Macaca fascicularis: one gene and its partners. The protein of the gene in region 4 interacts with the protein of the main gene of each other region in a pairwise test. Links are inferred from orthologs where the notes say so. Each region holds a gene or a part of one and is shown on either strand. Other genes may lie near its edges. The genes, in order: SPATC1L, GPANK1, RTP5, PNMA1, HOXB9, LNX1 and FMNL2.

Region 1 (4,100 bases), on a different chromosome or scaffold from region 4:
GGGTGGTGGCTGGCGTTTGGGAAGGACTCAGGGAGCGACCAGCCCAGCGCAGGTGCTGGAGTGCCCCCTGGTGAGTGGCAGAGCTGGCCTCCCGGGCATGGCTCGCGCTTGCAGACAGCAGCGTTCACAGGCACTGGCGAGGCTGCCTGCTCCATCGTCCAGGACCAGGCAGGCTGACCACGTCCCTTCCCGGCCCAGCCAGGTGGGAAGCTGAGGTTGGCCGTGGGAGTCCCAGGAAATGCTGTGTCCTCTGTCCTCTGCCCATCATCCCAATGAAGAGTCAAGGGCACAACTGTCAGCCACACCCCAAATCACACGCAGGAATGGGGAATGTTTTCCCAAAACTTTTAGAATAAAGCCTACTACTTTGCAGAAAGTGATCAAACCCTATATATATTTTTTTCAATAAAAAGCCACAGAAGGTTGGAGTCAATACTATGTGGTGAGTGGATCATGGCCCCACACTCCCACCCCCCAGGGACAGGTGCCCACTCGTCCCCACCCGCTCCCCTGGCCCGCTCTGGGACCTCCCTGGGGTGGGACCTTCCTACCACGGGGCTGGCCTAGCTAGCTCTGGCCGGGGATGTGAGTGGATGGGACACAGCACCCATGGGACTCGTGTGGCTGGTCTGACACCCCCCTCGCCCCTGACCCAGGAGGAGAAGAGACGCACGCAGCAGAGCAAACTGCCAGCCAGGCCCAGCCTGGAAGAGCTGCCTGGGGCCCTGGAGGCCCACAAGCCTGCACGCCACCTGCTCTACCCCTACGGCGGCACCTCCATGACTGCAGCTGACCACACCCACTTCACCGGAGTGGGCCTGGAGGGGAAGGGCCTCACCTGAGGGCAACAGCAGAACCCACCACCTGGGCTTGCTTTACTCAGACCTGAGAGTGTGAAAGGTGCCCGTGACCTCCCGCATCAGGGAGCTGCCCGCCCCCCTCAACGCCCGGGGAGCAGATACCCGACGACCCCCCATCCACCAGGCTGGACCCTTGGGCCATGTGAGCCAGGTGGTGCCTCACCTCCACTCCCAGGGGAGCCGGCCTCGGGGTAGGCGGGGGCCCTGGGTGGGAGCAGGTCGTGGCCACTGCCCTCCTGGCAGCTCTGGCTGAGCAGCCGCCGCAGCATCTGATTCTCCTTCAGGAGGCGCACCTGCTTCTTCAGGTCTGCGTTCTCGCTCAGAAGCCGGCTCATCAGCTCGCCGCCCTCAGCCATGGCGGGTGCGTCCCTTCTCGTCCCTCACGGCTCCTGCAGCCCCATGGAGGTGGGAGCCCAGAGCCCACAGGCACCACAGAAACAGCCCGGGCATGGAGTTCCGTAGCCACCGCCGCCTTCTGCGCCTTGTGATGTCACTGCCCTAGTGATGAGGTGCCCGGCACCCCCGCCTGACCCGTCGATGGCTCGTGGCCCCGTTGAGGCCGTGAAGCTGGAGGCCCGTGGTGTGCACAGGCAGCCACTCCCACACCACGACCGGGGCCCGAGAATGCCAAGGACATGAGGCAGGTACGGGATGTCGGGACTGCACTCCAAGGGGGCGTCCAAGCCTCTCCCCAGTGAGCGGCCCAGTGAGGGTTGGGCGTCCACCCTGTGTGGAGTCCTCAGGCTGGGTGGGGACGCTGCCTTCACCTGAGTAACACATGGGCTGCACTTCCCACAGGACCTGCCCAGGACACAGGGATCCCAGTGCAGTTTCCTGTGGGCCCCGGCACCCAGGGCGGCATCTGGTGTGCATCAGGGCCCATCCTTGGCACCCACATTTGAGAAAGGAGGGGCTGGTGAGGGCAGCTGGAGGAGACCAGTCTGGGGAGGAGACCAGCCTGGCAGGGGAGACCAGCCTGTGGTGGGGACCAGCCTGGTGGAGGGGACCAGCCTGGGGGGGAGACCAGCCTGTGGAGGAGACCAGCCTGGCAGGGGAGACCAGTCTTGGAGGGAGACCAGCCTTGAGGGGAGACCAGCCTGTGGTGGGGACCAGCCTGGTGGAGGAGACCAGCCTGCGGGGAGACCAGCCTTGGGGTGAGACCAGCCTCGGGGGGGAGACCAGCCTGGAGGGGAGACCAGCCTTGTGGGGAGACCAGCCTGGGGAGGAGACCAGCCTGTGGGGCAGACCAGCCTGGGGAGGAGACCAGCCTGGGGAGGAGACCAGCCTGGGGAGGAGACCAGTCTTGGGGGGAGACCAGCCTGGGGGGAGACCAGCCTGGGGGGAGACCAGCCTGGGGGGAGACCAGCCTGGGGGGAGACCAGTCTTGTGGGGAGGAGACCGGCCTGGAGGGGGAGACTGGCCTGGGGAGGAGACCGGCCTGGCAGGGAGACCACCCTGGGGAGGAGACCAGCCTGGGGCAGCCCCACCATGGGCCCCACGATTGGCCCCACATGCTGAGGGGCGCTGGGTGGCCCTGAGGGCTGGGCTGGAGACCACCTGCTGACCTCACTCCCCAATGAGAAGGGTCCAGCAGTGCCTGTCCACCCCTCGGACCGCGAGCGCCCATGTCTAAGACACCAATTGTTCCTGACTGCACTGCTCCTGCCTGCACCTAACTGAGGACGGCCCCAACCCATGGCCACGGCCCCTCGGGCCGTCACGCAGGGCTGTGGCTCACAGGGTCCTGCTAGAGTAGGCGCTGTCCTCGGTCAGTGTGACCAGCTTGAAACCCACCCTGACTCCCCGCTTCTCCAATTACTTGGGGAAGTAAATCACCTCAGTGTTGTTTCTTGGCTCCGAGAGTCTTGTTTTATCAGCAGCCGGGATGTAACAGAAGGGTCATCTCATCCTCGTGGGAAGGGACGTAATCCAGAAAACACAACCCACTGGGCCGGCCACACCTCCAGCCCTGTGACGGGCACCCACCACCACCAACCCAGTGGGCCGGCCACACCTCCAGCCCTGTGACGGGCACCCACCACCACCAACCCAGTGGGCCGGCCACACCTCCAGCCCTGTGACGGGCACCCACCACCACCAACCCAGTGGGCCGGCCACACCTCCAGCCCTGTGACGGGCACCCACCACCACCAACCCAGTGGGCTGGCCACACCTCCAGCCCTGTGACGGGCACCCACCACCACCAACCCAGTGGGCCGGCCACACCTCCAGCCCTGTGACGGGCACCCACCACCAACCCAGTGGGCTGGCCACACCTCCAGCCCTGTGATGGGCACCCACCACCACCAACCCAGTGGGCCGGCCACACCTCCAGCCCTGTGACGGGCACCCACCACCAACCCAGTGGGCTGGCCACACCTCCAGCCCTGTGATGGGCACTCAGGACCACCAACAACCCAGTGGGCCAGCCACACCTCCAGCCCTGTGACGGGCACTCAGGACCACCAAGGGCACTCACGTGCAGACGTCCCCAAGGAGAACACCACCTTCATTCAGCCCGGGCGGCCACATTAGGGCAACGTTGCTTCCAGGAGAGAGTCTCGAGTCAGGCTTTGTGGAGAATGGAGGTTGCCATACCCCAAGCGTTCCTGACACAACCCAACCCGTCTGGCTGCACCACAGGGCTCACACCTCAGATCAAGACAACGGGGGCCCAGACACAGCCCACTGACGAGGGCATGCCCCTGCATGTCCAGGATGCAGGGCAGAGAGAGAAGTCAGGGGTGAGTCACAGATGCGCCCCCCACTCTGAGCCCGATGGGGCCCTGAATGGCTTTTCCTGCCCTGGCTCCTCCCATCATATTTTAAATGCCATCTTCTTCCCGCTCCAAGGAAGCCTTCTCCTGACATCACGTACTCTCCAGCCACGGACCTATCAACACTCTGACAGTTTTCTGATCTTGACACATTATCCTTTTAATATAGCACTGGATTCAATTTATTAATATCTTAAGTATTTTTATGCTCACAGGGGAAATCAATCTGAATCTCCTTTTCTTGTGATGTCTTGGTCTGGCTTTGGAACACTGGCCTTTTAAAATCAGCCGCAGGGGTTCCATGCCATTTTCTGGGTGTTCTTCCTTTTTTTTTTTTTTTTGAGACAGAGTCTCGCTCTGTCGCCCAGGCTGGAGTGCAGTGGCCGGATCTCGGATCTCAGCTCACTGCAAGCTCCGCCTCCCAGGTTTACGCCATTCTCCTGCCTCAGCCTCCCGAGTAGCT
Region 2 (4,058 bases), on a different chromosome or scaffold from region 4:
AGCAAAACCTGCTTTCTACAAAAAATATGCTTGAGCCCGGGAAGTGGAAGTTGCGGTGAGCTGAAATCACGCCACTGCGCACCAGCCTGGTGACAGAGTAAAACCTTGTCTGGGGAAAAAAAAAAAGGACAAATTGACTTCCTTCCTACTTAATAATGAGGGAATCCAGGCTGGTCCAAAGGTGGTGGTGTTATCTGAAATGACTGTTCACTCAGTTACAGATCAAACTCCTTACTCTACTTTTCCCCTCCTTCTCACTACTGGTCTTAAAAACAAATTTATTTAAACCATTGTGGGACCCAGAGCAGAAGAGTTGAAAAGAAAAAATTGTAACCAGGCCTAGCAAACTCTTGGGCAAGGGGAGGGATACTAGTGATAATGACTACAGCTAACATTCATATATTGCATACTATGCAGCATGCACTATTCTAGCATTTTACATATATTAACCCATTGAATCCTAACAACAATCCTTACTACCCCATTTCTAAGATGAGAAAACTGGAACATGTAGACATTAGGTTGTTTGCCCAAGTAAGTGAAATCAGGCTTTAAATCCAGGTAGCTCATATTCATAACCACTTGACTATACTACCTTGTCAACCTACACATGAGGATAAGGAAAGAACTCAGCACTGTGCTGGGGCCTCTGGTGTGGAGTGGCTGGGAGAGGCAGAACACAATGAGACAGGGGTCTGAGCTAAAGTTTCCCCTCACCGGTTCTCTGGGCTCCTTGTCTCTCCATGGCTTTCCCTGACCATGCGGGCCACCTCAGGAAAGCCAGCTTCTTCAGCGAGCTGAGCCGCATCCCTGCCACCCAGCTCACAGACCCCCACCCAGGCAGCCCCACGGCCCAGGAGATAGCTCACAGCTGCCCCCTGGCCCGCTCGAGCAGCGCACATCAGTGGGGTCCACCAGAAGGCATCCCGAGCATTGATATTCCCCCCAGCTCCTCCTGCCTCATGGGGCTCCAGCAGTCTCCTAAGTTCTGCCAGGTCCCCCTCCTGGGCTGCCCTCAGTATCCGGTGAGTCATCTTATCCTCAGCCTCAAGGGATCTCCCTTGTCCATATCTTCCTGATACTCCTTCTGCCACTGCTTCTGCTGCAGCTGCCCCCATGATTCTTCTTTTCTTTCTCTTTCTTTCTCTGGCAGGTTCAGTCTGAGATCTTTGGGAGTCAGGAACGCAGCTCTCATCCCCAATAAGGGCCTCATAGAAAGCTCGGGCTGCAGCTCCATCCAGGGTGGACTCTGGCTCCTCGGGCTGTGGCTGCTGCTGCCCATCCTTCCAGAGGTCGCTGGGGTCAGTGGCTGGGGTGAAGGTGATGAGGAAGGGCTGGGACATGGCTTTTGGGAGAACTGAGAAAATGATACCAGGCAAGGGAAGGATGCGACAAGCAAGCCAAGCTCCTGGTGACTCTGTAGCAACCAGAGCCTCAGGGACCTGCTGGGATGAGAAAAAGTAGTCAAAAACACTTTCCTGCCGCTAAAGTGACCCCACAACTTAAGACTCTGCAGGGTCTAAGGGAGAGAGTATATGCGTAAAAACACGAAACCCTACAATACCGACTTTGCTCCTTAGTAAAGATTAATCAAACTCCATGAGACAGTCGTCCAGAGGTCCTGCGTCCGGCCCCCACCCCCATCCTTACCAACAATAAATACCAGCCTCTTTCTGAAATCACTTTCTCACCCCGTAAAACAGACATACCAGTAGGAAAAAAAAAAATCAAACCTGGCCCTTTAAGTCTTCCGTGATCCCATTTCGGAGTTTCCTCTTCCCAAACAAAAATAGACGGGTCACTCCCTAGAAGATCTCGGGGAGAGGCTCCTATACGTGTTGCCGTGTAGCTTCCGTAACGCAAAATGGCGCTATTCTGATCAGCAGAGTTGACACAATCAAATAGCCACACGGCACGGAGACGCATGCGTGGCGACAACAACAACAAAAACCACCACCCACATTACTTGATGGCTCAGGCGTGCGCAAAGCTCCCGGTTCAGTTTCCCGCGCTGGAACTTTTCCAATAGTAAACGAGCAAAGCTCCGCGCGCCCAGGTGGCGCGAGCGCTAGGATCTGTCGGTTGGGGTCCTACTTTTACATAACGCCCCCACAATGCCCTTCGCCTTCCTCTACGTGGCCCCCGCTCCAAGCCCATTTTCTGGAGCTAGGAATCCACTCTCTGGGTTAGGAAAGGCCCTCAGGAGGCGGAGGGAAACCTGTGGAATGCCGAGAAGCCGTGTAATGAAATAACGTCACGCCTGCCCCTCACCATTACTCTGACCAGGGTTCGAAGGTCACACTTAGAGACTAAGGGGAAATGGAGAAGTGCAAGGGGACGAGCAGAATGGCTGGCACCACCTCAGGTTAGCGCACTGGGCCGTTCTGGTTCTCACCCAGCCCAGCCCAGCCCAGCCCAGCCCAGCCCAGCCCAGCCCAGCCCAGCCCTCCCAACCCAAGTCCCTACGCACGGAGCCAAGCCGCACCTCTCGCCTCATGAGGCCGGAGCCCGGAGTAAAACAGAAGGCCCGTCAAGGGTCTCTGGCGGGACTGACTCGCACTAGGGGCCCAACAGGCAATAAGGACCCAGCGCATTGGCCAAGGATAGGCCAGTCCCCAGGGAAGCAGCACCGCGTCGGGACTAGAGGGCAACTGTGAGGAGAGCTGCGAGGAGGGGTCCAGCCTGGCTCCCTCCTTTCCCCGCCCTAAGTCAGCTTCTTCGCCCAGTGAGCACACAACTGTATTGCCCAGGCTCCCAGGCCCCGAACGCCATACCTGGTTTCCGCTTCCGGTGGCTTCTCGTTGCGCCCCGCCCGCAAGCGTCCTCCTCCGGGGCTTCGTGACAGCCAGGTCGTGCGCGGGTCATCCTGGGATTGGTAGTTCGCTTTCCCTCACTTAGCCGGTTTCTCTCTCTACCGGGGACTCCGCGTCCCGGCATCCACCGCGGCACCTGACCCTTGGCGCTTGCGTGTTGCCCTCTTCCCCACCCTCCCCAATTTCCACTCCCCCCACCCCACTTCGCCTGCCGCGGTCGGGTCCGCGGCCTGCGCTGTAGCGGTCGCCGCCGTTCCTTCGAAGTAGCAACTTCCCTACCCCACCCCAGTCCTGGTCCCCGTCCAGCTGGTGAGTCTGAGGTCTTCGCTGCTCCTAGTCGCTTGTCGCTGGGAGCCGCACATGGGTCTCCGCACTTTGATATGGGGGCGGGGGGAGGAAGCAACCAGGTCCGGCAAGGAGGGAGAGGTGGCTTGAGGAGCGGAGGGGGGATGTGTGGAATCCGGTGAAAGGGACCTGACAGTCGCCCCCAACCCTTGAGAAAAGGAGGCGCCCGATTCTTGCTTGAGAGTGATAAACTTGGAAATCCTTGGGAAAGGCGCCGGGGTCGTGCAGAGACTTGCATTGGTACGGAGCCTGAGTCGAGGTCCCTGCCGGAGTTGACACAGAGAAGAGAGGGCCCTGGCTTTCGGGAGCTCCAGGGACGTGGGTCGGGCTGGTGGGTCAAAGTATCTGTTGGCTTCTTTCAAGTGGTGGGACCCCAAAGAATGTTTAACGTCAAAGAAAAGGGAACTGAGATGTAAATTGGAGGAGTTGGAGAGGAGTGCTTCAGAGTTTGGGATCCTTTAAGAAAGGGTGGTTCTAATGTGGGAGGAGGGAGGATACCCGAGGCAGGGAAGGAGAACTTGAGCTTTACTGACACTCTTTTTTTCAGCTGACGTGAAGATGAGCAGCTCAGAGGAGGTGTCCTGGATTTCCTGGTTCTGTGGGCTCCGTGGCAATGAATTCTTCTGTGAAGTGAGTTCTCTTCGACCTCCCTACTTGCTGGCTTCACATATCTTCCCACCAGATGTTCCTTCACGTATTCCACTTCTACACTGTTCTCTTACATACTACTTGAAAACTTCCCATCAACGAAGAGTCCCCTCAATAACCCCCGACGAACCTGTGCTAAAGTGGCAAAACTGGGGCCCAAGTTTCGACTCTGCCACCCTCCAGCAGGCAATTTGTGTCTTTTTCTTTATCTTTTTTTTGAGACTGGGTCTCACTGTGTCGCCCAGGCTGGAG
Region 3 (4,197 bases), on a different chromosome or scaffold from region 4:
CCGCAGGGACAAGGCCATTGTTGAGGGAGACGGGGCCCCAGCCCTGGGCCACGCCAACGGGGCTACAGAGGGAACCCCGGCCCTTGAAAAGGAAACCTTTGAGCTCGAAGGTCTGGATACTGCTGCCGAGGAGGCCGGGGCCATGGAAGAGGGGGTCTCCAATGGCCACTGGGAAGCCTTTGCCCCCAGGCATGGCCACAGAATCCCCAGACAGGTAGATGGAGCCCTGGCCAATGACCAGAGCCCCATGGCTGCCGGTCACAGGGAGAGAGGCCTCCTGTGAAAGAGAGGCAGGGATTGCAGGGCCCTCAGCGATGGGCACCTGGTCATTGCTGGCGCGCACAAGGGAGAAGGGGATGGCGATGACACCACCACCCTTGCCGAGGTCATCGCCGGAGGTGGGCAGCTGTTTGCCCCTGGAGACGGCGCCGGTGCCACCCCAGGCCATGGCAGGGAAGTTGCCTGTCGTGGTGTTGGTGCTCCAGGCAGGGTCTGGGGCCTTCTGAAGGAAACAGACCCCCAGCTCGCAGGCCTCACAGCAGCCCTCGTAGGCCTCCCTGGGGTGCCGGGTTGGGCCGAGGCCATCCCCGTAGCAGTCCTGCAGGATGTGCAAGACCAGCCTGCTGAGGAAGGGCCGCTCGCCTGGGGGCCTCACCTGGCAGTCCCCGGGCGCAGGGCACAGCTTGCACCGCTGGCCCCAGATGCGCATCTTCACCAGCCCCCGGCGGCCGGCCCTGTCCCACCACAGGTGGAAAAGGACATGCACGTGGGCCGAGTCCCAGGTCCCCGGACAGCGACTGCACTGGAGCCTGCGGGGGAAAGAGGTGCGTGTGAGTGCAGCAGTAAGAGACCCCAAGGCCGGGCCTCGCGCTCTGTTCTGTGGCCTCCTTGCCCATCCGACCCCAGCGCCTCGCTGCCCCCTGCCTCGCATCCCACACTCAAACCCCAAACCTCAAACCTCACCCGCCAGCCACCCAGGGCCACGGCCAAGGCGGCCCAGCACCTGCTCCTGCCTGTGCTGAGGCTCTGAAACCACCAGCCCCTTGGCCACACGGGCAAACGCAGGCCCATGCACGCTAGCTTGCAACCCCCTCATCTGGAGCGCTGTTCTCAGCAAAGCAAACCTCTCAGCAGTTTTGCAGCAAAACCCGCTCTGGCCTGGCCTCTGTGAGGTGTCGGCCACCTGCCGCCCGCGTGGCTCTGCTGGTGTTTTGTGAGTTGGGGTTAACACAGGAAGAGGCAGGCCAGCTGACACACTTAGAAGGGGAAAAGCATGCATCTGGGGGCTGTCCCTGGGGGCTCAGCAAGGGGGGTCCCTGTCCTGACTGAGAGGAGGTGATCCCCCCGTCACCTGCCAGCTGAGGGAAAGGGCGTCACTGAGGCCTGCGGTCATGGCCCAGGCAGCCCTGCTGGGCGTCGCCAGGCGAGGGGAGATTTGGGGAGAGCACTGGGAGAGATTGGCTTGTCCACAGCAGTCACCAGACCGGTGACCATTTGCTAACCACACAAGCAGCTGTGAGCTTCAGGGAACCCTGCATGAATGAGAGGCTCTGCTTCAGTTCCACGCAGTGGAACTTTCTGGATGACAGAATGTTCTATAGCCACACTGCCCCACCTGCAGCCGGCAGCCACACTGGCCACAGAGCCCGTGGACACGGTCGTGCTGGAGGAACTGAACTGCTGACTGTGTTTAAATGGGACTGAGGAGCCTGCCAAAGCCACAGGCGCTGGGGCTCATGTTGGGGCACCCGTCCTCAGTTCTCTTCCGCCAGCTGGGAGTCACTCAGAGCCATCTCCGCCTGGCTGTGGGAACGGTGATGTGCTTCCAAGCACTTCTCAGACCCCAACACGGGTTATTACTTTCCCAACTTCTGAAAAAGCTGGGATTCTACACACACCTGGCCCCAGGGGTCTCAGGCACTAAGGGGCTGTGTCCAAGGGCAGGATGACTCCCCCTTTGCCCAGGGCATCTCCACAGAGGGACTGACCAGCCGGCAGCCTGGGGGCCTGTCAGGCCGGGCGTCTGCGAGGCTGTGGAGCTGCCCTGCGCCCCTCCCGGCTGGCTCCTGGCAGAGCTGTGGATGCCTTGCCGGGTAGAGAAGCAGATGGGGCCCACCCTGTTGTGCTGACGGCACCACGACCATGACGATGGCCCGTGAGGCTCACATGTGACTCACAGCCACCCCGGGCCCCCGATCAGGGCCGAGCACCCCACCGTCTGCAGCGCAGGGCTGGATGGTGACCACAGGCACCGGCACGCCCCAGGGCCCACCTGTCAGCACAGACAGCTTCGAGGCCACGGCACTGCCATGGAAACAGGAGATAAGCCTGTGTCCACGGGCAGCGCTGGCCTGAGGAGCCGAGTGAGGGAAACCAAACCCTCCACGAGGCACCTGCCATGTCTTCCCCGGGACCCCTGCGTCAGCAGCCGTGTGCCCAGCATGGCGAGGCAGAGGCTCAGACGGGAGAAAGAAGGAGCACCCAGTCCCCCCTCCCGTCTCAGGGACAAGAAGAGGCCCGACAGCCCCACCCAGCCTCTGGGACCACCCAAAGTCCTGTGGAAAAGCACCTTCAGCCCCGTCCCTCTCCCAGGGTCCCCAGCCTCTGGCCGCACCTCGAGAGCCCCACCAGCAGGTACTGGACGCCACCGCCGTCCAGGCGTCCTGGGACCAGGCTGTGCTCAGGTAGCAGAACCCAGACGTCCTGGGGTTTCCTCTCGGCCATGGCCAGGGTGAAGGTGCTGGCCCACATGTCTGCCCCAGCCCCGTCCATGCTGCCGCCTGGCTCCGCAGTGCGGGCTGAGGGCTGCGCCCGCCGGGGGCCCAAGGAAGCATCCCTGCATCCGGCGCCGGCCAATCAGCCACCTTGACAACAGCACGGTCTCCATGGCAACCAGATTTGTCTCCAAGAAATGGGAAGCAGAAAGGAAAAATACAATACAATGCAATCTCCCATGACCCCGCCACCCAGAGAGCATCCCTGTGGCAGCAGCACCGTGGGGGCAGCAGCACCGTGGGGGCGGCAGCACCGTGGGGGGCCCGTGGACACGCAGGGGCCTCCCCAGACCTGTGCGTGTAGAGGCCCAGGTGTTTCCACACATCGCTCTAAGGAATCATCCCCAGCCCTCTCTTTCTACTGCGCACCAGGAACGGTGGCCCACACTCATCCCTTGCTGAACACTTCGTATTTTTCCAGCTTGTGGCTGTCATGTAACTTATTCACTCAGCTTCTCTCTGCAAACAGCACTAACGCTTTTCACACAAACAAAGCTGAGAAGAACTTTATAGAACGTGTATCACTGTAGATTGTCCCGTGGGTGTATTCTCTTAAACGTTTTACTAGTGAGAAATATAAAATATTTACATAAAATGCCTAAAACATAAATGCAGAGTTTCACAAATTATTCTAAAGTCTTAGTCACCACCTCCCAGAGGAAGAAAGAGAACCTCGCTCTGCCAGCCTCCAGAGCCGACTGCCTGTTCGCTCCCGATTTCAGCCCGCGGCCCCACCCCCACCCCCCACCCTCCTGGCAGAGGTGCCACCAGCCTGGCCGTGCCTGCACGGACCACGATGAGGCTTCAACACCTGTGATGCCTCCCTCACCGAGCCCTTTAGCTGTGCAGCTTCTGAGCTTCACGTAAACACCCCATGTGTGTGCCCAGCTTCTCACACCTTTTCAGGTTAGTTTGTGAGATTCAGTGGCATCGCTGTGCATGGCAGCCACCTGTCAGGGCACAACAAGAAAGGGCGAGCTGAGAAGGAGCTGGCACGTGCAGGGGCGGAGGCAGCCGGCGATCCCTACAAAAGCTCAGCACAGATCTGCCCCCGGGAGCCTCCAGGCCGCCCGGCTCTCCTCACAGCTCCCATCTCACCATCTCTCTGCTCTGCACACTGAACAATCTCTTCTCATTTTTCTACCACTTCACGCATTATCTCCTCGTCTCTGTCCACTCTGCAGCTCACGCTGGCAAGTGAGTGCATGTTGTCATAGTTTTCAAATCTGTGACATCTTCCTGCCTTGCAGGTAGGTGTGACTGCAAGATGGAAGAGGAAGCCATTAGGAAGCGCTCTGGGAAGGGGCCTCCATGCAGGGCCAGAGTGCCAGGGAAAGCCCCGTGTTCTCATTCCAGCTTCACTTTCTTCTGTCCATCAGTGCTGGGAGGATGGCCGCCCTCCAGCCAGTCTTAGGCCCGCCTG
Region 4 (4,232 bases):
AGATGACAGCAAGAGGGGAAGGAAAAAAAAGGACTTGCCATTTAAATTCACATAGTATCATACAAAGCTTAAGAGTAAAATAAATGGTTTAATGACAAAGTCTTCATAAGAAAAAAGGACAGAGTTTACTTAGGCTAAAAATGTTTATACATGCCAGAAAAATGAGAAGACAACAGAATTTTTAAAATATTTTAATTTGTATATATAACTTCAAATTTAGAACACTCAGTATGAACAAGAACTATTCTCTGACAAAGATCTGAAATGGGGAAGTGAATTACTGTACAGGTGCATATCAACCTCTCCATGCAATTTACATCTGTATCTTATGCAATGAGAAACTGGTTTACACAGCTCCGTAATTGCAGTATTTTTTTAACACCCCATTTTGCAGTCTCAGAATACTTTTCAATTAAACTGATCGACATGTTTAAAGATGAGAAATATGATGTTTGCATTGTAAAGTTGAGTAATAGCTAATAAATGCACATTTCCTTCCATCAATATAAATCTGGAACTATTTATGGTAAAGAAAAATCTATCTGCGCTATCAGTAATCTAATAGTTCATACTTTTACTGAACACTTCCTGTGAGCCAGGCCCCGTAGTAAACATCTGCACATGCAATTTCACATTCAGTGTGGAATAGGAAGTGTCAGAGGTTCGTGTGTTTTTCACAACTGATTATGATGTCCATGATGACAGCGTGCACTAAGCGCTGTGTCCAACCAACCCTTTACCTGGCACTTTAGCCAGCAAGACCCACTTGCATTGTAGCAGCTCACGGTGCTCGCTTGCACAATTTTAGAATGTTACATGAATACTCAGGCCTGACTAACCTTCCCCTCCAAAAAAACAACAAAACGGAACAGGGCTAAGCCTTTACTACTCAGAGACACATCTGTAAGACCCCCACAGGGACAAGAAAACTAGCTGTGATCTAGGTCTGCACTAAAGCTGTCTTTTCTGGCACTCAGAAGTGCCCTTCCAGGCCTAACTGCAGAAGGGTGGCCTCAGCCTCCTCCTCCTCCTCCTTGGCTTCCTCCTCACGGATCTGCACCAGCAACTGAAAGAGGTTTGGGGCCGGCCCTTCCCCAGCCCCGGTAAGCCACAGCTGCCTTCGGATGGCCCCGCTGTGGTTGGCCCCAGCAATGACCTGCTCTAGGCGGGCCTGGTTCACGTTATCTTTATCAATGGCCCCCTTCTCTACCACCTTCTGTAGCAGAGGCTCCAGACGAATGACATAAGCAGACAATTTTTCTCCCGGGTTCTGATAAGTGTTCAGAAATTTGATCTGGGCATCCCTAGAGCTCTCAACGCTCCCAAACACCTGCTCAAGCGCCTTCAGGCATTCGGCAGTGGTTATCGCGGGGTTGTTGGACTTGAGGATGCGAATGACATCAGCGGCAGGGCCTCTAAGGCTCTCCATCAACCGCCGCCTCTTTTCTACATCGGACACCTGCCACTCCTCTAGGACCTCATTAGTGTGCTCCAGCCAGGGATCAAAGGTTTCCTCTCCAGGCCCTGGGATGTCCCTCCCCGAGAAAAGTGTCAGCCTCTTGTACCATATGGACTCAACAAGAGGCTGAATAACATTATCCAAAATATAGTTTAGCATCTCTGCTGGCATCTCTGGGCCCGGGGTCGGAGTAGGGTTCTGAAACCCAAGGACACGCGCAACATCTTGCACGGTCCACCCCTCTCTAGCTAGGAAGAGGTGCAATCTTTCTAAAAATTCAGCATCAGAAGTTGGGGGCTTAAACAACACTTTCCAGACCCCTCCTTTGCCCGGCATCTCCCTGGGGATCGCGGCGTAATCGACAGCGCCAGTGAGCTCTAATAAGGCTGCTTTCGCATTTTCTTCCCTCCAGAACATTCTCCCAAGCATTCGGTAGGGGACCTGGGGCATCGCTGCCTGGAGGGTCTCTTCGATTTCAGCCTCATCACAGTTCACTGGGATGCCCCAGACCAACAGAGCTCTCTGGGAGTTCACATCCATCCCCCGGCACCAGTCTTCCAACAGTGTCATCGCCATTTTCTCAACTATCAAGACGCCAATTCTACCAACAGACTGTGGCTCACCGTACTCCTGGCCTTAGAACAATACCAGACACTCCCACCAAATAGGCCCAAGGGAGGTAGGCTTCATGCATTCACGACTAACAAAGACACAGAGTCCTGATCTCGCCCTTCTCTGCCCCCCCAGTCAGTCCGTAGGTACACTTGGAGCTGAGCTCGGGGACGCTGAGGAAGTCACGCGGCCGTCGCCATCTTGCGTCTGGGTCCGGGTCCGGTCGGGTCTGCCGCTTGCAGCCGGGCTGTCGCGTCGTCGTGCAGCGGGCAAGGAGCGAGGGCGGGCGGCGAAGGCAGGCGCGCTGGGTCGAAAGCAGCCGGGGTGTGGTCGCGGGGCGTGCCCGCCGGGCGCTCGCTGCGGCTCCTGGAGAGGATCGGGCGTTCGCGGTCGCAGCCCGGTCTTCCCGCGGGCGAGGAGCGGCCGTTTGGGAGACTAGCCAGAGGGAGAGACTGTGCCGAAGTCGCGGCGGCTGCGGGCCAGCGGAGAGCGGCTTCTTGGAGGGCGTGGGGACTCCTCTTGGCGGGCGCGGGGACTCCTCTGGGCGGGCGGCGAGGACGGCCGAGGACCAGAAACGAAGGCAGCAGAGGAGCAGGAAAGCCGGAGAAGCGAGGCTGGAAACAGCACAGGCAAGGGTGGGCAGCGGCGGCCGCGGCGGCCTGCAGCGGCTCAGGCGCTGCGCGGCTGCCCCAGCGTCGAGTCCTACCCGCAACCCGCTGCGACGTTACTGCTGCAGTGGAGGATGGGGCCAGCCCGCGAGCGGCGTCAGCCCCGCCCCGTCCCGCCCCCGCGGCGGAGCCGCTCGGGCGTCGCCATGGCAACGGCGCCCCAGCTGGCGCGAATCACGCCTGCTCCGGCGGCCCGCGGGGGTCGAGCGGTTGCCATGGTGCCAGCGAGGGGCTTGGGCATTTGTTTCTCTGATGGCGCATTTCCTTTTTCATAATTTTCCATTTTAACAGCAAACAAATACTGCTAAGCACCGTGTTTTAAAAATAATAACCCAATCCTGGAGTGCATTTAAGATGATACTATTGGAAGTCATGGCATCCCTCATGGTGGACTTGTCTACTCGGGTTGCCCAGCCAGTCCACCCTGCACGTGAAAATACTCTCCTCAGAACCCTGGCTTCCCGTTACCCCTGACCACACTGTGCACCCTGCATATTTTATCCCAATGAAGCCGGAGTGCGCCATTTTTTGTGTGAGATACTGAGTTTAGACTTTTTCTTGTCTAAACTTTTGTAAACATCTGTTTGTCTGTGTCTACTGAGTCATCTTTTAGCCAGGCAAACATTAGTGTTATTTTCCTTTTCCTGGCTGGCATCGACAATAGGCTGCTAAAAGAGAATCCTTATGGCTCAAAAATGTCGAGTAATCTCCCTGCAAGCAAGACAAGGCCCACTTACATCAACCCCAGATGGTGAAAATCCCGAGAGAACATAGCATTCAACTCTGAATTTTTAAAACCTTATTTAATAAAAGGTTTAAAGATACAGAAGAACATTCAAAAGTAAATAAGTTACATAGGTACATTACAATCACATCAGCAAGATTCTTTAGTGTATTAATTTTTTCTTATAAAAAGCACACAAAAAATAAAATCTTCAGTCTCTATCACAACTGTACAGCAAAAGAGGTAATATTTATATGTATGTACACTATTTTAATATGTAACAGTCTTTTTCAAAAAGGGTGCCACAGGCAGCAAACACACAAAAGGCAGTGTCTGATCATTTTTGTTTCAAAATAAAAGGAATATACTTATTTATATGCTATTAAAATATTTGTACAATAATTACAGACTGTCAAGGCTGTTCCTGTGCTCTGTCCCCTCCAACAAGGCCTTCAACTTAGAGACAAATGAGGAAAAAGTGAAACAGCTGCAAATTGTTAGAGGCAAATATTAACATAGCAAAATGTGGGGAGGACACAATTGTTTTATAAAAATATCCCTACTTCCTGTAAACCTATGGAGTTAGGCTTGCCAGTCTGATAATAAATACCGTCCCAGAAAAGCGAGCCCCAGTGAAAACAACTAAACAGCTGAGGCTTGAGCATGTGTTGTATTCCTCCTTCATCTTAACATCTGGCACATGAGAAGAAAGAGGTTAGGTCACTGAGGCAGTTAAATATAGGCGATCCCTTTAGACATAAGCAGCAAA
Region 5 (4,058 bases), on a different chromosome or scaffold from region 4:
AGGGCTGAAAACTCAGCCCAGGCTCCTTCCTCTTTGGATGGAAGGGGAGATAACTTGGGACCCCTTCCCTTGCTGACTGGGGATCCTTTCCCAGGCCTCTACTCTGGTGACACCTCAGGGAAGTGTCCTTAACCCTTTCTGCTATTCAGCTCCTTCATCAGGGCAATTTTAGGGGCCTGGGTGGTTATTCAGTTATTCAGTGGAGAAAAGGAGAAATGGCAATTCCCCCCCCCCCCCGCCGCCCCCACCTCACCACCACCATCTTAAATCCATCCTTCTGGCCAGAGTCAGAAAGGCCCAATAAATGTAAAGGCGCTCTGGTTCCTTGTATTAAACTCTTTCCTAGGCTCACGTTTCCGGGGCCTGATGGATCCCTTTAACCTCAAGCAGTTTCTAATTTCAGGACAAATAGTGGATTCTTGGACACTCAGCCGTTTTATTCACCTCTCTCCTCTTCCCTCAGCTACTGAGGGGTCCAGGGAAGCTCCCAGTCATGTAAATCTCTACAAATAGTGCACAGAGAGCCCCCTCCAAAGCGGACAACGTCCTAAAATCCCCAACTTTTCCCCTCATCCTTTTACTTCATCTCCTGTGGATTGCTGCTGCTGCTGTTGTTTAATAAACATCTTCTGTCAAGGGGACAGAGAAGAGGAAATGAGGGCCTGTGGGGTGGAGGTGGAGGTGTGTGTTGGGGGGGACAGGACCACCTCCTCTTCCAGTATCCTCTCGGGCCTCTGTGGCTGCTCCCCGGGCTGGGGCTCTCTCCCTCCCTCCGCCCTTGCTCTCCCTCCCTCCCCGACCCGCCTGGGGAGAGGGCTCCACAGCCTGCGTCCCTCCCGAGGCAGCCCGCCGCTTCCCTCCGCCTCTCCTCCGCCCCCGCCGCCCCATGTCGAGAACTGCCCCCCTTCCTGCAGCGGGAGGGGGGACCGGGCAGCCGGCAGCTCAGGCTGAGGTTACGTGGCCGCCGGAGCCCTGACGTGATAGCACATTGCATCAGCATAAAACAATCCATCCTCGATATGGAATGCGGTGCGGACGGATGACAGCGAGAGCGCAGCCCCCTCGCCCGATTGATTTATGTCGGAGCTGACGCTTTATCAGGCAGTCGGAAAAACTTTGACCAATCATTTTGCAAGGAGCGCTGAGCCTGGCTGCTCCACTGTACTTTGTTGGCTGAGAAGTTGAGCAGGGGGTGGGGGTGGGAGGGTGGGGGGCTGGGGGGGTCGCGTCCGAAAGCCCTCACACCGGTCCGGGTGCCACCTCTCCCTGCTTGGGCGCCGCCGCGCGAGCGCTTCCCTTCCCCCTGCGAGCGCCCGGATAATGTCTGAGAATGTCCATTTCTGGGACGCTTAGCAGCTATTATGTCGACTCGATCATAAGTCACGAGAGTGAGGACGCGCCTCCAGCCAAGTTTCCTTCTGGCCAGTACGCGAGCCCGCGGCAGCCGGGCCACGCGGAGCACCTGGAGTTCCCCTCGTGCAGCTTCCAGCCCAAAGCGCCGGTGTTCGGCGCCTCCTGGGCGCCGCTGAGCCCGCACGCGTCCGGGAGCCTGCCGTCGGTCTACCACCCTTACATCCAGCCCCAGGGCGTCCCGCCGGCCGAGAGCAGGTACCTCCGCACCTGGCTGGAGCCGGCGCCGCGCGGCGAAGCGGCCCCGGGGCAGGGCCAGGCGGCGGTGAAGGCGGAGCCGCTGCTGGGCGCGCCTGGGGAGCTGCTTAAACAGGGCACGCCCGAGTACAGTTTGGAAACTTCGGCGGGCAGGGAGGCCGTGCTGTCTAATCAAAGACCCGGCTACGGGGACAATAAAATTTGCGAAGGAAGCGAGGACAAAGAGAGGCCGGATCAAAGTAAGTTATAAAAAGTGAGGAAATACCCAGGCCGAAGGCCAGGAGGGGGCGGGGAGGGGAAAGGCAATAAACTGCCGACCATGTGAAGGGAAACTGCGGCGGTGGCCGGAGAGCGGGCCGGGAGGAGGGGAGAGGAAGGAAAGTCGGAGGGAAGGGGGAAAGCTGCGTGCTCTGGAAGGTGAGACTGAGGCCGCCAGAGGAGCGCTGCCCCCACTTCTTCAAGTCGTGCGGGGAACAGGGGCTCTGGGATCGACTTGCAGCTCTCTCGGCCCTCTTTCCCCTGTCTCCCGGAGGCCCCAGCTGAAAGCCCGGCCAGAGACCGGCGACGGCCGGGAGAGGAGCTGGTGGGGCCGGGGGCCAGCGGCCAGCGAGGCGGAGAGCCGGCGAGGGCAAGGGCCGGAGCGCACTGGGCTGCCCGGGACCGTGCGGCTGGCAGAGCTCCCCGCTCCACGCGCAGACCGTAAAAGCCGGCCAAGGGGAAGGGGGAGGGGGCTCATTAGGATTTTATTTGCGATGCAACAGCTTGGCGGAGAATTGTTCCTAGCAGATCTCGTGCTGTAGCCGCTCAGAGTCCGCAACCGGCGCCGGGAGGGGCGGGGGAAGCCCAGGACGCGGTGACTGAGCCCCCTCCCCGGATGCGCCGGCCCCTCCCCGGGAGCCTTCCCTCTGGTGGCCCCTCTCCTCCTCGGCATCTTCGCCGGGGCTGCCGCTTCCTTTTCTGCGGTCCTTCCCCCACCCCGCTGCTCTCTGCGGGGCTCCCTAGCCCCAGCCCGGGCTGTCCGCCTCTTGGGGAGTCGGGGAATCGCTTCCGAATATCGGGACATCCCGGGGAGAGGAGGGGTGGGGGAAGAGAGGGTTGCAGAGAGGCGGAGAACTTTACCGTTTATGGGTAGTTTCCCATCACCTCCCACTCCTCAAAAGCACCCCAGTCAGAACGCCAAGTCTGGCTGATTTCCAGGAGGTGCTACTAGGTGAGAAGAGAGGGTTCTCCTATTACTTATTTTTAAGGGCCCTTCGGCGAGGGAACTCAGCCCCAAACAATGACTCGCAGGCTGGTGAATCAAGTCCTCGTTTCTTACTCTTTTTGGGAAGTAGGGATTTTTTCGTCTCTCCTTGCCCTGCTAGGTTTCCCATTGACGGAGTGGCCCCAGGGCTCTTTAGTGCATCCTTGCCTGCTGGAGAGTAAAGAGCTGCTCCATTCCCTGCAGGGTCCTGTCACCTCCAACCCGCCAGGTGGAATCCTAAGAGCTGGCATTTGGGGAAGACATTCTTCCCCAACTCTCCCCGCACACTCCCAAACCGACCCACCACCCTAAAACCCCAAACTCTCCCTGAAAAGCCCATTATTGCAAGGCAGCCATTTGGCTAGAATCAATTATTAACAGTTTTTTCCCTCTTTCATATTTAATGCAGCTGCGGGTCCCATCCCAGGCAATCACATTAAGGAAATAGCACTGCAAATTGGTAAGACAGGGTACTTAGTGTAGGATGAACCAAATTTTTTATATATAAAAAAAATCCAGTGTTTTTCACTTGGGGAGAAGGAAGCTAGTAGCTGGTGGCTATTATTTTTAATTGGCTTAGCTTTATTTGGCAACTTTTTTGAGTTCCAGAGCAGGGGGAGAGAGGGTAAGAAGAAGAGAAGCCTGTATATATTTTTGTTTCCTCTCTTCCACTCAGTTACCCTCTTCTCCCCTCCAGCCCCCACATAGGACCAGTTAAGGCTAGGTGTGCTGTGAAGGGCTTCCTTTTACCTCCACATCACCCCTGGCTCCCCACCTTGGGACTGGAGCAATTTTACTCCCCAATTTCCCTGAACTTGTGTTAGCCAAACTGTGAGCTGAGCAGGAGCTGAAAAGGAGAGAGACTATTGCAACCATAAGTTATCTGTGAGCCCCTGGCGCTCCCCTGTCCATAGGCTGGAGTTGATAAATGGTTGCAATTGCGTTGCGTGTGAATTGGAGTGTGCTGCCTGTTTGTGGCTCTAAGTGCAGACCCATATTTGTGGTGTGTGGTGGTAACAGAGGGGGAGATTTCTACACAGACACACATGCCTGCTGCCATGTGGTCTAGAGACACAAGTTTGTGATCAAGGCAGGGTGTACTGGGACTAGACTGAAGGGCTGAAAGGTCTCTTGGGGTGAAGTGACACCCCAAATGTGGTAACTGAACAGACATCTCACTTCCCCACCCAAATCCTCCTCTCACCTC
Region 6 (4,136 bases), on a different chromosome or scaffold from region 4:
AGCAATTGAAAATAAAGATTAGGGGTAGAACCAAAAAGAGTCAGAAGTGTGACCTTAGGACTGAAAATACATGTGCTGACTTCATCTCACCAGGCAGAATTTTCCAGGTTGGCAATTTTGCCTCATTCACTCCGTGGATTATTGATTAAAAGAAACTTGTAGCAGCTGGCTCCGAAAGTCAAAGGGACAAAGTGGCAATCAGGCCATGACCAAAATGCACACAGAGGCCAAGGAATTTGCAGTGTACTTCCTTGTTTGTAAATCAGAGTCACAGTGGAGAGCTGAAGGCACCGCAGCCAGCGGCACCACCTGTAATTAGGGAGCCACAAGTACCTGCACTCCATGTGTCTTTCTTGCATGTTGCACATACATAAGATAACACCGAGCTCCCGATTCACATCTCTGGAAAGAGACTACTTAATTCACTAATTATTCACATTTCTACTTAGAATCGAATTCCCAGAGCTTATCGCTTATTTAAGCAAAATCTTTGGCCATCACTGGAGCTGTCATCCCACAGAAGTGCTTAAGCAAACCAGTGGGAAAAGCAAAACTCAGAAAAGCACACTTCCAGAAGCGCAACGTTTACATTTTTAACTAGCTGGGTCACTTTGCAGGAACGACTTAATGTCTCTAATCCTCAGTTTCTTTATCTATATAATGGGAGTGATAATTATAGATTCTGTTGAGAATTAAATTAAATAATGCAGGTCAGGTAATTACTACAGAACCTGGTAGGCAGTAAGCACTTAATAAATGTTAGCAAAGATGTTGCAGCGGCTGACAATGATGGCGATGGTAATGCTGAAGAATGAGCAGAAGAAATCCTTATTTAAACAATCATTCTGTATCTTTAGAGTTAAGAGTCTTAAGTAGTATCAGCCACAAACTTGCTCAGTCTTTTTCTTTGTCCACAAACATTAGCCAGTGTTCAGTTATGAGCAATACTGCCGAGAGAAAATCTTTGAAAGTTTTGGCAAGGTATTGGAACAAGTCAGAACTACTTATTTGCCTGATATAGATTTTGGTGCATGTCCCTTTTCATATTCAAAAATAAAAGATGCCCAGGATTCTAGGGCCTGTCCAGTCAGCAGCCCCTGCCTATTAGCATGATAATGTTCCAGACCTAATGATGGCCTGAAGGTGTGGTGACCCTGTGTTTATTTCCTTGTTGATTTCCCTTCTCTGGCTCCAAGATCATTTTCCCATTGCCCACAGGAAACAACATCTAGGGGCGAGGTAGGCCTGACTTGGCAACCCTAAAGGTGAACAAAAGGATCTTGGCTTTTGGCAAAAGCAGAAGGAAGTTCAGGGGCGTCTCAGCCCCATCCAAACCAGAATAGATTTGTCACTGATGCTAATGCATGCTGCTCTGCAGGGGACCACTCTCCCGCTAAGCTCTCCATAGCTGCTCTCAGTTTTATGAATCTGCTCTACCCAAAGCCTTGCAGAAGGGACAGGGGATGCCCTGGTTAACCCCTGCATGTACAATGGTGGAGCAGTTTTGATGCATAGCTGGGACACAGAATACTGGAAAGAGAAAGAAAAATTTCCTGAGCTACTGCTAAGCCAGCAAAACTCATCTCTCAAACGGACTATCACCTGAGACTTCACACAGCTGGGAACTGATCCGCAATACAGCAAAGGTAAGATGGCCTAGTTCCTCTACAAGGTAGAATCTCATACCATTTTTTAAAAATGTCACCTCTGCCCACTCAGCCCCCAGTTCTCACCTCTCTCTCTCTCTCTCTCTCTCTCTCTCTCTCTCTCTCTCTCACACACACACACACACACAGACACACACACCCCCCAAACTGAGGAGAGTCTAAAAGATGGAAATATCTAGGTGTGTCTTTTTGAAAACACTAGAAACGCCTTGGCATTTCCTCTCTTTATACCCTATTTTTTTCTGCAGTGGCCTTCATTCAAAGCTTATTTACTTTGACAAATGAAAACGACTTGCCAGACAGATCAGTAAAAATATAAGTAATCCCACTAACAGTAACTGGGTTTATGCGACAATATTCTTTATCGGTATTTAAAACACATTCACACACAGACTTTGTTTCATTCCACAGTAGGAGTAGGTGTTGCATTGTAGTTTTACCCATGGATAAAGAGGTTGAGAGAAGCTGTGACCTGCTCATGGATGTGTAGAGTTGTGGGTGACCAGCAGCACATCCTGTCTTCATTCCTATCTCTTTTCAGTAGAATGGTGACCCTACTCTTTACAGAAAATTCCAGACTACATTCTTGGCCATGTATTCTGACAAATGGTCTGATGAGAGGATGGAATTTTAGAAATTGGAACTCTCAGGAAAATCCAGAAATAGATAGCCACAGTATCCTGTACAATACACCACCTTGTCATGTATTCCTGTTTACTTCCATTCCTGGGCATTGAATTCAGTTCAACAAATGTCGATAAACTATGTTCCCTGCTCCAACACTGACTGGCTCATATGTCAGGGCGTGGTGCAAGTCCTGTGCCCAAGGAATGCTGAGGCAGTGCAGAGTAGGATGGCGGGGTGGGGGGCTTCCCTAAAGAGGTGAGCTTCAAGTAAGCTCAGCATAAAGAGTGGACTTGGATTGAGGGAGAGCATTCAGATACACAAATCCCCCGGGAGGAATTTGTTGAGTGAACATTTACTTACACCAAGTCCATGGTGGCAGAGCTGAGGGGCAAGGAGCACAGCCTGAGGAATTAGACTGTCTGGCCTTGACTCTTGGTTCTACTTCCCACTAGCTCTGCATCTTGGAGTACCTCAGTTAACACCGCTAACCTCACCTTGCCAATATGTAAAATGAGAATGATGGTAATACATCCCTCATAAGGTTGTCTTCAGCTGTGAATGATTATGTATGGGAAGTCTTTCCTGATGCATAACAACTGCACAATAAATATTAATACTAACTAGTGTGATGACCATGTGCCTGGCTCCAAGGGAGATGCAGGGAATACAGATAAGAGGAGGCCTACCCTCAGTGTAATCAAAACGTCATGAGTTAGTTGTGTGCAGCTAATGACATGAGATGTGATGCATGCTCTGGAACCACGAGGGTGGAATCTTTTAAGTCTGTGTGAGTTAGGGTTGGGGTTCTGGGGGGACAGGGAAGGGGGCAGAGGTTTCACAGCAGAGGCCCTATGTGTAGGGCGGTAGTATAGATCAGTGAAAAGAGCTAGACAGATCTAATTTTGAATCCCAGTTTCCTCCTCTATTTACGTATCTATTTATTTCTATATTAATCTATATGTATTGAAAGCCATAAATTCATACTGCCAATTCATACTTCCAATTCATACTTCCAATTCCAATCCAACACTCCCTTTCTACATTTGTAACTCCCTTCTCTAACATTCATCAGAAGCTGGCTCCCATTATCCTTAATATATTATATGCTTATTCACTCAATCCCCCAAATGTCATCAACTGCCATCATGACACTGTCCCCTGCCCCATGCAGACGCCCTCCGCACCCTGACGCTTTGTTCTGGGCCGCCCTGAGCTGGCTCCTGGAATTCTGGAGCTACCATATGTCCTCCACACGCGCACAGGTGCCTACTTTGCTCAGCCCTATGTAATGTCTTTAAGGACTGTGACACATGCTATACATTTGTGTATGTACCTGTGTTGTCACTGTCTTTGGAGGGGGATAGAGCTATCTCCTCCATACAGGTAGGGCACATGTCCTCAGCATCAGGCCTGAAGAAGCCAGGCTCATTCCATTCATTCTATTCCACTTGGTCTGCTGATCTATATGGATGTGGACTGCTCACTGTATGCTCGGGGTAGTAACAACATTTCCAGGGGTGAAAAGTACTATTTGGGCAGTCACTGTTCCTTTTGCTTCTCTGTCAAGTCCTTGTCTAGGTTCTCCATTATTCATTTACTTAACAACAGATATGAAGCACTTACAAGGTAACTGGTGCTTGGTTAGGGTGGGACATAGAGATTTAAAACCTTAGTCACCACCCTCAAGGAACTCCCAGTCCACTGTGGGAAGCAGACAAGCCATAAATTTCCATTCCATGTGGCCAAGTGCAATGAGAGCCTACACAGCCTGCCATCAGAGGGCACCTAGCTCAGACTGGGTGGGCACAGAGGAGATACCCAAGGGGAATCCTAAATGGGCAG
Region 7 (3,500 bases), on a different chromosome or scaffold from region 4:
TTTTAGAAGAATAACATCTGGATTGTGACATCATTTATTATCTCTTATGCGGGCCTCCAGCAATGCTTACATAAAAGGAAAGTTGAGCTGAGTGTGGCAGATGTTAAGAAAAGGTAGAAGATGTCAGTTTTCTCTGGAGTATCTGAATTTTATCCAGATTTGTTGAATACAAATTTGATGGCATTTGTGGAATGATACAGTTCAATGCCAGACGCAAATATGATACAGATGCATATTTTAATTCATAACAACAGGAATGAATTGTTTTGCTTTTAGTACTTTCAGGACATTTTAAACAAAGTTCATTTTTTACTCTTGAACTGCATAGAAGGCATTGGTTTTACTTCTCTATTAGAAGAATCCTTCTATTCTTGTGGCCATGGTGACTTTCAAATGTGACGAAGACATTATTAAATGTTTTAGGAACTAATTATTTATAAATGGATTATCTTGTAAATTTTGGTTAGTGACTTAGAGGTGTAAATGACCCTGAGAAATCCTTTGTTCCAATTTTGTGTCCTCAGCCAGGGTGATAATCTCGTAGTCCAGTGCCTCCTACAGTCTGTTCTCATTTCTGACATTGAATGCTGAAGTGCAGCCTGGCTTTGAATCTTTATATATCTTGTTTGTCATGATGATTAAATGTAATTCTATTATTTAGCTGAACAAAGATTGTCCAGAGAATAATAGAGAATAGAGATTGTAACAAATACTTAATTTGTTCAAATTAAGCATATATCCAAAAAGAACTTCAAGGAATGTACACACTTAACCTAAAACATTCAGATAATACAGGCATTTGGATGCATTTTTTTCCCAAAGAAGAAAAACTGCTACCAGACTATTGGTTGAATTGAAATATTTTACATAATTCAGCAGATATTCTGTGATAATGTGTACAGTGTTAATCTCCTGAATTAGCAGTAGTACTTCACAATGCCTGTCAGCTATGTCCTTGAACCATTAAACCATCAGATGCTTTGGCCTTGGTTCTACCTCTTCCTATTTTCATTTACTCCTGATTCCAGAGGCTTAGAGCTATGCCAGTCCCCTAAAAACTGAGGATGGCAGTTGTGACAAGGTCCAGGTTTTCAGGAAGAACCAATTAAGTTACCTGAGGCATAGTTAAGCCTCAGCACCAGGACCAGGGTGGGACTTCACAGGACAAGTGGAGAAATCTTAGACTCATTGATTTGGTATTTGCTGAGCTGTACCAGATGGATGATGGATGGATGAACCTGAAAAGGATGGATGGATGGATGGATGGATGGACGGACCTGAAAAGGATGAACTTGAAAAAGGGGTAGGAGGTTTTTTCTCTCTAAGGCTAATCTCTCCACATCTGTCTTTAGATTTGACTTGAAGACACTGCCTGTAGACTTTGTGGAATGCTTAATGCGGTTCCTGCCAACTGAGAATGAAGTGAAAGTGCTTCGGCTCTACGAGCGGGAAAGGAAGCCTCTGGAAAACTTGTCAGATGAAGACAGGTTCATGATGCAGTTTAGTAAAATCGAGAGGCTCATGCAGAAGATGACCATCATGGCTTTCATTGGGAACTTTGCTGAAAGCATTCAGATGCTGACTCCTGTGAGTGGACCAACTCTGGCAGGGGAGGGGGTCCAAAGAAATGTGGAATCATAATTTTTTAAAGTCTCTCCCAGAGGTGCACTCAGTGTGTTGGGTTCTAAAGACTCCGTCCCAGAACTTTCTAAATTGTCCATCTTTTCCACATTATGTATGAAAAGTAAATTTGAAAAAATGGGGAATGTTCATATTCCATATTGCTGTTCTTCCGAAAGAATGCCATTTTTTTGTGTCTACAGATGTTCTCTAAATTTCAAAAGGCAGAGGACAAAGAAACTTGGTTCTTTTCTCAAACTTGGTTCCCCCCTGAAGATAATAGTGCTCTGACGGGGTTGGCAAGAGTGAAAATGTGACTTTCATTTCTAAAAATGATGCCCTCTCCTTAGTGAGCAGACTTACAAGCTTTTGCTGAAAGCTTTAAATTTACCATAAGAGTTTTCTTTCTTGTAAGTGTGTTACAGTAAACTGTGGTGATATAGACATAATAGCCAACCATCTCTCATTCCCTTGTGTTAATCTTGTGGAGATTTATGAATATCATAAACTTCAGTTCTCTCCCAATTCTGTTTCTAAATAAACTGTTACTGATTATAGTAGTCAGTTCTTTCCCAATTCTGTTTCAACATAAATTTGTTGGTTTCTGCTTATAGTAGTATGTCTGTTGAAAACATGTTCTGTGAACTTCTGGAGGGTATTATATTCCCCCCTGCCTTTTTTTTTTTTTTTTTTTTTTCTCATTTTTGATGCCTCCTCCATTGATTTAAAAATATTAATTGTATGACATGATTAGAGGTGGTGGGCAGGAAATTAAGTTCTACCAGAAGAAGCTATGGACTCTTAACTCTGAGTCTTAATGGTTATAGATTGGTTACAGATTTTGTGACAAGCAAGTTCCTACGTTGCTATTGTGAACAGTTTCAGTAAAGACCTTGCATGTAACAATATTACCTGAAACCTAGCAAGACAATTAAATTTGTTATACTTTGGAAAAGTAGACTCTCATCATGAAGATTGTATGCTCTAAATGCAGGCCTGTTTTCTTCTGTGTTAATATTTAATTGCCAATTAGTTTCCCATTTTTAACATGTCTTTTTCCCCCCCTTTTTCTTTCTTTGATTGGAATCTAGCAACTACATGCGATTATAGCAGCATCTGTCTCTATAAAGTCGTCCCAGAAACTCAAGAAAATTCTGGAGGCAAGTGCAGTTTTTCTTGTAGGTATGAAGGGCTACTTCAGCTGTGTTCAGTGCCTGATGTGCTGAACTGATGGGCTTCTGTTTTCACCTTCTCTTTTGCAGATCATCTTAGCCCTTGGAAACTACATGAATAGCAGTAAAAGAGGAGCAGTTTATGGATTTAAACTTCAGAGTTTAGATCTGGTGAGTGGACTAAAAGAAATCTGAGAGCTGTCTGAAGGACAGATGGCTGGCAGAGATGAAGTTAGGGTGGTGGGGGATGTTTTGATGAATATTTTCAATTGGTACTAATTTTCTGGAACACCATTTGACAGAGAGCACATAGAACCTGTAATTACTTATACCCTTTGACTCAGTATTTCCATTTCTAGGAATCTTTTCTCAAGTGTCTGAATTTTGAATGCTGTATTTTATTTATAATTGCAAATTAACAATCTAAAGGTCTATGGGAATGATTAAATGTGCTGTAACGCTAGTTAATATAGTGAACTATTATTCTTCCACCATTAACATACTGATAAAGAGTGTTCCAAGAAAGGTTTGTGTTTAGAAAAGAAAGCAGGGTATGCTTTGCATGTACAGTTGAATTTCAGCTAAGTAAACTATGTGGGGAGAAAGACAATGGAAGTAGGTTAAAATATTAGCAGAGGTTGGATGGAATCAGGGAATTTTTTCAAACTGTTTTTGTAAGTACTTTTCTATATTTTCTTAAATTTTTTC

The links.
Region 1: the proteins of PNMA1 (region 4) and SPATC1L interact in binary tests that used the Homo sapiens proteins (3 or more experiments, as listed by UniProt). The two-hybrid records come from large-scale screens. The link is inferred for Macaca fascicularis from reciprocal best matches to the Homo sapiens genes PNMA1 and SPATC1L.
Region 2: the proteins of PNMA1 (region 4) and GPANK1 interact in binary tests that used the Homo sapiens proteins (3 or more experiments, as listed by UniProt). The two-hybrid records come from large-scale screens. The link is inferred for Macaca fascicularis from reciprocal best matches to the Homo sapiens genes PNMA1 and GPANK1.
Region 3: the proteins of PNMA1 (region 4) and RTP5 interact in binary tests that used the Homo sapiens proteins (3 or more experiments, as listed by UniProt). The two-hybrid records come from large-scale screens. The link is inferred for Macaca fascicularis from reciprocal best matches to the Homo sapiens genes PNMA1 and RTP5.
Region 5: the proteins of PNMA1 (region 4) and HOXB9 interact in binary tests that used the Homo sapiens proteins (3 or more experiments, as listed by UniProt). The two-hybrid records come from large-scale screens. The link is inferred for Macaca fascicularis from reciprocal best matches to the Homo sapiens genes PNMA1 and HOXB9.
Region 6: the proteins of PNMA1 (region 4) and LNX1 interact in binary tests that used the Homo sapiens proteins (3 or more experiments, as listed by UniProt). The two-hybrid records come from large-scale screens. The link is inferred for Macaca fascicularis from reciprocal best matches to the Homo sapiens genes PNMA1 and LNX1.
Region 7: the proteins of PNMA1 (region 4) and FMNL2 interact in a two-hybrid assay, tested with the Homo sapiens proteins (2 studies listed by BioGRID). The two-hybrid records come from large-scale screens. The link is inferred for Macaca fascicularis from reciprocal best matches to the Homo sapiens genes PNMA1 and FMNL2.

The regions. Positions count from the first base shown.
Region 1 is NC_088377.1:933,370-937,469, reverse strand, and holds the start of SPATC1L (speriolin-like protein), read right to left. Parts: upstream 2,801-4,100; 5' UTR 2,680-2,800; intron 1,662-2,679; 5' UTR 1,217-1,661; coding exon 1,024-1,216; intron 1-1,023.
Region 2 is NC_088378.1:140,055,882-140,059,939, reverse strand, and holds the start of GPANK1 (G patch domain and ankyrin repeat-containing protein 1), read right to left. Parts: upstream 2,801-4,058; 5' UTR 2,471-2,800; intron 1,876-2,470; 5' UTR 1,734-1,875; intron 1,446-1,733; 5' UTR 1,344-1,445; coding exon 718-1,343; intron 1-717. Other genes in the region: CSNK2B (casein kinase II subunit beta), read left to right, coding at 3,717-3,788.
Region 3 is NC_088386.1:137,802,054-137,806,250, reverse strand, and holds the start of RTP5 (receptor-transporting protein 5), read right to left. Parts: upstream 2,801-4,197; 5' UTR 2,773-2,800; coding exon 2,615-2,772; intron 810-2,614; coding exon 1-809.
Region 4 is NC_088381.1:141,640,181-141,644,412, forward strand, and holds PNMA1 (paraneoplastic antigen Ma1), read right to left. Parts: upstream 2,801-4,232; 5' UTR 2,036-2,800; coding exon 974-2,035; 3' UTR 176-973; downstream 1-175.
Region 5 is NC_088390.1:58,092,993-58,097,050, forward strand, and holds the start of HOXB9 (homeobox protein Hox-B9), read left to right. Parts: upstream 1-1,258; 5' UTR 1,259-1,330; coding exon 1,331-1,847; intron 1,848-4,058. UniProt on the Homo sapiens protein: Sequence-specific transcription factor which is part of a developmental regulatory system that provides cells with specific positional identities on the anterior-posterior axis.
Region 6 is NC_088379.1:80,251,581-80,255,716, forward strand, and holds the start of LNX1 (E3 ubiquitin-protein ligase LNX), read left to right. Parts: upstream 1-1,336; 5' UTR 1,337-1,646; intron 1,647-4,136.
Region 7 is NC_088386.1:48,134,197-48,137,696, forward strand, and holds part of FMNL2 (formin-like protein 2), read left to right. Parts: intron 1-1,352; coding exon 1,353-1,587; intron 1,588-2,711; coding exon 2,712-2,780; intron 2,781-2,882; coding exon 2,883-2,963; intron 2,964-3,500. UniProt on the Homo sapiens protein: Plays a role in the regulation of cell morphology and cytoskeletal organization. Required in the cortical actin filament dynamics.